Macaca fascicularis: one gene and its partner. The protein of the gene in region 1 purifies or fractionates together with the protein of each later gene. This does not show direct contact. Links are inferred from orthologs where the notes say so. Each region holds a gene or a part of one and is shown on either strand. Other genes may lie near its edges. The genes, in order: DNAJB6 and MLF2.

Region 1 (3,800 bases):
AGTACGCAGTCAGGGCCAAGCCCACATGCACAGCACGTCCTCAGGGCGACCCAGAACTTCTCCGGGGCACTCACTTCAGAGACTCTCCAGCTCCCTAAGGGGTGGGCGGCGGGCAGGGCGGCCAAGAGCCCCACGGCGGGTGACGGGCAGACTACGCTTCACGAGGACGTCTGACTTGAGGGGTCTTTTGTTCTGCACCCAGCGCAGAAGAAGGCACGAGAAGGTGAAGCTGACGGAGGGGCAGGAGCAGATGCAGAACCCCCAGCACCAGACCACCTGGCCTAAGCCACAGGCCTCAAGCTCTACGCTGAAAGCTACGGAAAGGCAAGTCTACGGTAAAAGCAGCACCTCGCACTGCTGCGGCAGCTCTGTCATCCTTTGGGGAGCAACACACGGTGTAAAGGACACGGGGACCCCGTTTTAACGGTGGGGGGCCGGAGCCACCGTGGCGTGGGGGCTGCGGGCGGGAGGGGAACAGAGCGAAGCCACCTCCTCCCGCCCCGCCCTCCCCCGCCCGCTCAGGTCAGAACACAGCAGCACAGGCGCGGTTTGTGTCCTCGCTGTCCTCTGGCACCCACGGGAGTCTCCCTCTGGGCCTGCTCCTCGGCTGCCTCCCTTTGCACACCTGCTGCGGACGCGAGGGGGTCCCAGGGCCCGGGTGCCCGAGGTCGGTCCTGCTCGCCCTCCTCCTCATAGGGAGAGTGAGGCGCATGTCTGAGCAGTGAGGCGGGCCGGGGCGGCTTCGGCGGGCGGAAGCTGGCAGGCTGGGCTGGCAGGGCGTTCTGGCCTCTCCGCATGCGTTCCTCAGCGAGGGCATCCTCGTCGGCCACACCTGCAAGCACAGTGGGAGAGAGACGGCCGTGAGTGAGCGGCAGCCGGCCCCTCCAGGGCAAGGTCTCCCTGACAGACGCGTCATCTCTGGGGAGGAGAAAGAGGTTATCGCCTTCTTCGGTGGCACCGCTGGGGCCAGAACTTAACGCTCCGAGTGGTAAGAGAGTCATCTGAAAATCACCCCTCTCCCTCCTGAAGAAGCGGCTCCCCGCCCCACCAGCTTTGGCACAACCAACACGCCCCTTCCAAGAGCGAGAGTGCCCCCCTGAAATCACAGCCCAGGGCTGACAAATTCCCTGTCAGAATCAGCCAGCTGGGCCACCCTGGGGAAGAAAGGCTCCGGGTCCAGCTGGCGATTTCATCCTCCGAGTCCACACACAGAAGACGCCCCCTCTCCGCCTCGTGCTGGAATAAATCTGTGGCCGCGGCAGCGGTGCCCACGGGAGCCACAGCTCCGCCCAAGGCAGGGCCACGCCAGTGCAGCGCCAGCTCTGGCCCCGCACAACACACACACCCCCCCAAGACAGGCCGGCTCCTCAATGCTCTGAAGAGTTGTGCTTTTATTAATCTTTTGAAATACAGAAAAAGTCATTGGAAGGCCGTGCATTAAAAAAAAGAAATATAGGCCAGGCGCGGGGACTCACGCCTGTCATCCCAGCACTTTGGGAGGCCGAGGCGGGCAGATCATGAGGTCAGGAGTTCAAGACCATCCTGGCTAACACGGTGAAACCCCGTCTCTACTAAAAATACAAAAAATTAGCCGGGCGAGGTGGCGGGCGCCTGTAGTCCCAGCTACTCGGGAGGCTGAGGCAGGAGAATGGTGAGAACCTGGGAGGTGGAGCTTGCAGTGAGCCAAGATCGCGCCACTGCACTCCAGCCTGGGGGACACAGTGAGACTCCATCTCAAAAAAAAAAAATACAGAAAAAATGTTTTGAACACTGATGGATACGAGGAATAAAAATAAGAAAACAATATTCGCAGAATGATCTCCACTGTGATTCTCTGAAGGTGTGAGTGACAGTCGCTGTGTGGATGTGAGGGAGGCAGCGGCAGCTCCAGGAGCAAAGCGTGTGAGGCTGTAGCTGGTGGATTCCTCGTCCCTCTGCAAACTCTAAAATGTGTCTAAAACGTGTCGCACCCAGCACTTCGGGCCCCGAGCCCTGCGCAGATGTAAAGCGAGGCAGACCCCTCCCGTGGCACAGCACGGAGTTTATGCCAGAGGCGGCCCGTCCTCCTCACTTCCCCGCCGGCACTAAGGAGCACTCAGCCACTGAAACGCGCCTGAAACGCAACGGACTGAGATCGACGGACATTCAGGGGCTTCTCCAATTAAACTGGCCCGTACGCCACTTCCATGCTGAGTGCCAGGCCCGGGGCCCGCCCCAGGAGCTCAAATGTGATCACCCACAACGGACACAACTGGCTCTGAGGTCAGGAAGGAACCTGCTCTCAGGCTGTCCCCTCAGGCCAGGCTCTGGTCCTTGGAGACCACGATGGTGATGCTCACCTAAGGAAGACCCTCACACGAGTGCAGAATTCATCTCCAAGACCTGGGCAACTCGCAACCTGGGGCCTGCGTGTCCCCAGAGGGGAGGGCAAGCTTCACAAAACCCTAAAGCTGCAGCACGGCGCCCACAGGGCTCGGTCGTTTCTGGAACTCAGCAAACCCAAGAGGAGGCGCAGGCCTCAGATGTCACCTTCTACCCCCATCCTATTTCCCCACACTGTGAACACAGAATGTAATTTTGGGGACCATTTAACCATGCACCGTAAATGCAGGCTGTGAGGCTTCACCTATGGCACCCATTGTCAACACCGGCCTGCACGTCCTTCACCTATGACACCCATTGTCAACACCGGCCCGCACGTCCTGCCAGGGGACCCCAGGGCCCCTGCTGAGATGGCTACACCAGGAGAACACACGCATGTCTCGGCATCACGCAGAACTGCTGAGCTGAGAGGGGTCACCTAGCCCGGGGCCAGTTCTCCCCTTGGGAACTCCGTGTGCTCACGGGCAGAATGAACAGGTGGCAGGGCTGCTGTCTGCGATTCTATGATGTGAGTGAAGGAAAACAGCCCCCAGCACACAGGCCATGCGTGCGGGTGTCATGCACACACAGCACTTCCTGAACGTGCCCGCGGCAGGAGGAAACATGCCAGGGTCCCCTGACCAGGCCCCAGTTGCAGGCTGGGAGCGAGGAGGGCTCTGGGACAAGGACACCCAGGATGCAGCTTCTCAGCAAACCAAGCTGTTTCCCAGCTGCCTGGACCCTGGCAGGAGAGCGGGACACATGGAGACAGTGCTGCGAACTTGCTGTTGTGTGGCAACATGGCTTCCAGATCTGACACGGAAACTCAAAGGGGCAGGCTGCCCCGGTGACACCTGTGGACCCTGGACCGTCCCAGCCCCTTGGACACCAAGGAGAGACTCAGCACAGCTGCTCCCAGGGCACCACGTCCCACCTTGGAGGGAGAGAGGAGAGACGAGGGGACCCACACACACAGCAGCAAAGGGCCAACCGGAACCTGCCGGTGCCAAGCCCGTTCCCGCCTCCAGGAGGATTACACCCAATACTCCGCCATGACTTTGAAGATTATACTTTGCCAACTAATGTAGAACATTTGAGAAAAAAATTTAAAGTTTCTGGTGTGTGACACACTGAACTGGACCCTAAATATCCATAGCTGTGAAGTCTTCCCCGGCACAGTGATGCAGCAAGAGCTCTGTGACTGCCACCAGAAGAGCCACCCACTGCCTGGCCCAGCCACACACCCCAGTGCCCGGGAGCTTCAGAGCCAAGCGGGAGCCGCTCACCCGCCCCACTCCGTGGGGAGGGAAAAGGGGGGCAGGGTAACCCCACACATCCTGGCTCATCCTGGCTCTGGGACACCCAGTCTCGCTGCCACTTGAAATTACGCACTTCCAGCTCAGCTGCAGTTGGGAACCCCCGCCTCCCACTGTCCCCAG
Region 2 (4,406 bases), on another chromosome or scaffold:
TGGTAAACCTTGGGGGCGCCATCACCCGTATTGGAGTAGGAGATGACAGTGGAAGATGAGAAGGTCTGGCAATTGCCTCCAGCTGTCATGTGTTCCTGAGGACAGGGTGGGTAGGAGAGGGCTGAATGGGGAGGCATCCCCCCTGGTGAAGAGATTTCACCCTTCAGCTGCCTGTTCTAGCCTGTATCTTTCTCACAAAATGCAAGAACTGAAAAAGCATCAGGCCTCATCATTACCCTCCCAAATTCCTCCGAGTCCAACCACGAGCAAGAAGGATCTGAAGAGACAGAGCCTTAATTGTATGCTACGTAAGAGTGCTGCTGCTGGCTGCTTCAGGCAGGCATGACAGCAGATACAGGGTCCCAAGGCTCTCTGGTTCAATTACGGTATCCAGTACTTTACCCTTCACTAGCATACTGTCTCCCTCTTGCCTTAGAGGATTCAAGGTGTTGTCAGCCATCACTGAGAGCAAGGCCGGGGAAGGGTATGGGGCAAGTCTCACCATGTTTCCAATCATGTCATTCATCATCCCAAACATGTCCATGAAACCACCCGACTGGAGGAGAGATGGAAAACAGAGTCAGGAAAGCAAAGTCAGTGTTCAGAGTTGATCCTGTTTAGGAACCCACAACCCACGTGGCTGCACACTTCCTTTCTCTTCTTCACATCTAGCAAGTTCTCTTTCTCATTCTCTATTAACGTAACCAGAATACTCATGTTTCTCTTCCTGTAAACTGCTGACCCCTTCCTCAATCTCTATGACTGCTCTGATCCAATTTTCCTTCTCCTGCCTGCTATATTCCCCCCATCTTTAGGAAGCAAGCCAAAGTTAATGGATCCTAAACTCTAAAGAGATAAGGCATGAAATTGTTAAAACCTACCAAAAAATCATCTCTAGTTGGCCCTTTAACTGCGCCTCCCCCCTCCAAAGAACAAATTTTGCTAGACAATTACATCTTCCTAATGAGCATGGACTTCTAGGAGTACAAGAGTTAATAACGTCTTTTCTTCTTTTTTTGAGGTGGAGTCTGGCTCTGTTGCCCAGGCTGGAGTGCACTGGTGCAGTCTCAGCTCACTGCAACCTCTACTTCCTAGGTTCAAGAGTAGGTGGGACTACAGGTGTGTGCCACCATGCCTGGCTTTTTTGGTATTTTTAGTAGAGAAGGGGTTTCACCATGATGGCCAGTCTGGTCTCAAAACTCCTGACCACAAGTGATGATCCATCTCGGCCTCCCAACGAGAGTTAATAACACCTTTAACCCACAGGGCTCCTAGTAGCCAGCAGGCTCAGAGCTTTGTGAATGCCATAAAAAGAGAAGATTCTGGGGTTACCCATGAAACTATTCCTAAAAGGCACACTTGGGAATAATACCTAAGGGTAGAGAGTGTGTCTGAGATGGCAGGACACGGGGAGATGAAGACTCACCATTCCCAGCATCCCAAAGGGGGAGACAGCTCCAGCCTACAGGAACACATGAGGAACAGAAATTACAGACCACATCCTATCTCTATACAATCCCAAACGAGGCCCATGGCCTCAATTTTTTTTTTCCATCCTCTCAAAAGGGAGTCACAAAGCCCTTTTTCCTGACCCTTTCCCCCATTCCTAGAGCACTTCACTTGCTCAGTTGGCTGTAGTGCAAGAAAACTAAAGTGCTTTCCTAACCAACCTCCAACCTTTCTTTGGGTCTCAGGTGTGTCGTAGTACCATTACCTGCTGCATCCTGCGGCTGGCAGGCCTGGTCCCTGGCATGTTGCCATCTGTGATGCTGAGGAAGGGGCTATATCCAAAGCCACCTGACAACATACGGCTCATATGCTGACGGTGAATAGCAAATGGATCCCTGTGGAGTGAGCACATAGTATGGATGGCAGAAGCGCCAAACTGTTAATCCCTCCACCACCCTGCAAAAAATACGCACAGAGCAACAGTGGCACCGATGCCTACTTCCTGCTAGGTAGAAGCTGGGTATCCAGCCAGTTCCAACCATTCCCAGCAATGGAAACCCCGACGTCTGCTTGAACTGCTGAGAGACCTGGAGTGGGAAGCTTGAGGGGGAGGGAATACTCACATCAGGAACATGGGATCCTCAGGCTCCACATCCCTCATGAAGCGGAACATCCTGATCTCAGCTCCAGGGGGCTCCACACTGGAAACATGTGGAAGCTCAGATACTTGGAGGTGGCCAGGGTTTTGCACACCCACTCAGTGTAGGGACTCTTAGAGCACTGTCCTTTCCAAACGCTGTAACTGACCCCCTAAACTCCAGGGAGACCCTACTCCAGTGTTCCGCACAACCCTCTAAGGAGGTAAGGGCTCTTCAAACCTCTCTCTCAATTAGGGCCACGGAAAAATTTTCCAAGCCTCTCGGTTTTTCCCTCCCCCACTCAGAGCCATCCTCTTCCCAAAGCTCTGGCCGGTAGCATACTCTCCCCTCCTCCCTCGCCGCCACCGTTCTAGACGAAAATCCCAAGTGCCGGTCCTCCGCCCCATTAATGACCCCAGCCACCCCGCCCCCTCCTTACACCAGGCCTCCCCCAGGCGGGCCTCACTAAGACCCCCGCGCCTGTCTGCGGCTCCTCCAGCTCCCGCCTCCCCGCCGGGTGAGCCGAAGAGGTAGGCCTGAGCCTCTCGTCTCCCCAGCCCGCATCCCGGGCTCCCAGACCCTGCAGCCCCGCGGGCCCGCTCCCGTTCAGCGCTGCCCGCTCTGCCTGAGCCTCACCAGTGCCCGATTCGGGCTCAGCGGCCCATCCGGCCGGTTTCGCTTCCCGGTGCGCTGCAGGGTCAGGGTCGCGGCCCAGAACGCGGGGATTGGTCCGGGCTCGAGCTCCTCGGCCTTCCACGCCGCCTCCTCCCACCGCTGCCACCTCCGTAACCCCCCTTCGGCCCACGGAGCCCGAACCTAGGCCAGGCCCGGGCGGAAGTGACGTCACGATGGAACCGCCCACCCGGGGCCGGGCCGTGGGAGCCCCGCCCACTGGCGTGGGTGGTGAGAAGGCTGGGGCCGAGTCCCAGGGGCGGCGGGGCCATGGGCCAAGCTCAGGCGAGCGGAACCTGAGGTCGAGAGGGTTCACCTGGCCACGAGGAAGGGGAACTCATTAGTAACCTGGATTTGGGTTCTGTGGACTGGAAGAGGCTCCCATGAGGCTGGGGAGGAGAAGGAGAAGAGGAATCCATTCTTCGGGAGGGACCGAGTTGGGGGTTGAACTTGGCGCTGTGCAGCACGTTCCCTCTCCCTCCTCCGGGGGAAACTGGAGGACTAGGGGCAGATGCCCCTCGGGGAGAGGCGGGCTCTCTGTGGGCGACGAGGCGGGGCGGATCCCTTGGGGGAGCTTTAAGCAGACTCTAGTGGAAAAGCAGTCTATCCTGGAGGGAGGATGGGCAGTTTTCTTGCCGGGGAGTCGCTTGGGCCTGTCCCCGCTTGAGGAGGAGCGTTCCTGGCAGGGCGGAGTCCCCGGAGTGACGCAGAGGAGGAGGTGACACTCTCCAGCCCAGATCTAGTTCGGGCTTCGGAAAGTCGGATGGGGCAGAGAATCCAGGTTGGGGAGTTGGCCGCCAGATGGCGCTCCTCGGCCAGGCTGGAACCCGAGGCCCTTGAGAACTGGCATTGGAGAGGGACCTGGAGCCCTCCCCCATTACCCAACTGTGAAGGGTTGGACTGGGGAAAGGCTACAGTTCTGAAATCTATTAGTTTAATGCCACTCTCCCTTTCCTTTTACTCTAATTCTTGCGTCCTCAAGAGCTCCCAGTCCTGCACTGACCTTTCTTGCTTGCTTTCTTAGGTCAAAGGTCTAAAGTTTGGGGGAAGAAAGGAGTGGAGAGCTCAGTTAACCTGGATCACCCAGGGGAGGAGCTAAAACGGGGCCCAGGAGACCTGCCTCCAAGGCCAGAGACTGATCCTTTGACATACTAAATGTCTTGCATAAAATCTGGCTCTGCTGGAGAGAAGGGCCCTCCCCTTTGGGGTCAGGGCATTTGGACTGTCTAGGATGGACTTTAACCAGACTCATCCAAACTCCAGCTTTCCCTGGTTCTTTACTCTGGCTTTTAGCCATATTAGTGCTGTGTGGAGTCTGACCCAATGAGAAAGACTTGTTCCCGATAATTCCCTGGGGGAGAAAGAGGGGGTTCCTGGTAACTCAGGAAAAGGTGCTAGGAACAGGGCTTCTCAGGTTTCTTTGGACTTGATCATTATTAAAGAGGAAAAAACAATAATAGAGACAGGGAGCAGAGACAGATAGTTAAGATACAAGCTGGCAGACTGGCAAGTCAGAGGAAAACAGAGACAGAATAAAAGTAAATTTGTTTTTCATTGCTGTTTCTGGGGAAGATACTTAGTAAAATCTTTTATCTTCCAGATGCTCTATCTCTGCACATTCCACCATGCAACTTCCCCTTATCCTCT

What was found.
Region 2: the proteins of DNAJB6 (region 1) and MLF2 purify together in Homo sapiens (affinity purification with mass spectrometry; 3 studies listed by BioGRID and IntAct, with this or other methods). This does not show direct contact. The link is inferred for Macaca fascicularis from reciprocal best matches to the Homo sapiens genes DNAJB6 and MLF2.

Annotation. Positions count from the first base shown.
Region 1 is NC_088377.1:198,714,213-198,718,012, reverse strand, and holds part of DNAJB6 (dnaJ homolog subfamily B member 6), read right to left. Parts: intron 833-3,800; coding exon 626-832; exon of another isoform or gene 75-625; intron 1-74. UniProt on the Homo sapiens protein: Has a stimulatory effect on the ATPase activity of HSP70 in a dose-dependent and time-dependent manner and hence acts as a co-chaperone of HSP70. Plays an indispensable role in the organization of KRT8/KRT18 filaments.
Region 2 is NC_088385.1:7,678,701-7,683,106, forward strand, and holds the start of MLF2 (myeloid leukemia factor 2), read right to left. Parts: upstream 2,881-4,406; 5' UTR 2,724-2,880; intron 2,151-2,723; 5' UTR 2,123-2,150; coding exon 2,073-2,122; intron 2,050-2,072; exon of another isoform or gene 1,862-2,049; coding exon of another isoform or gene 1,845-1,861; coding exon 1,715-1,844; intron 1,463-1,714; coding exon 1,427-1,462; intron 557-1,426; coding exon 503-556; intron 96-502; coding exon 1-95.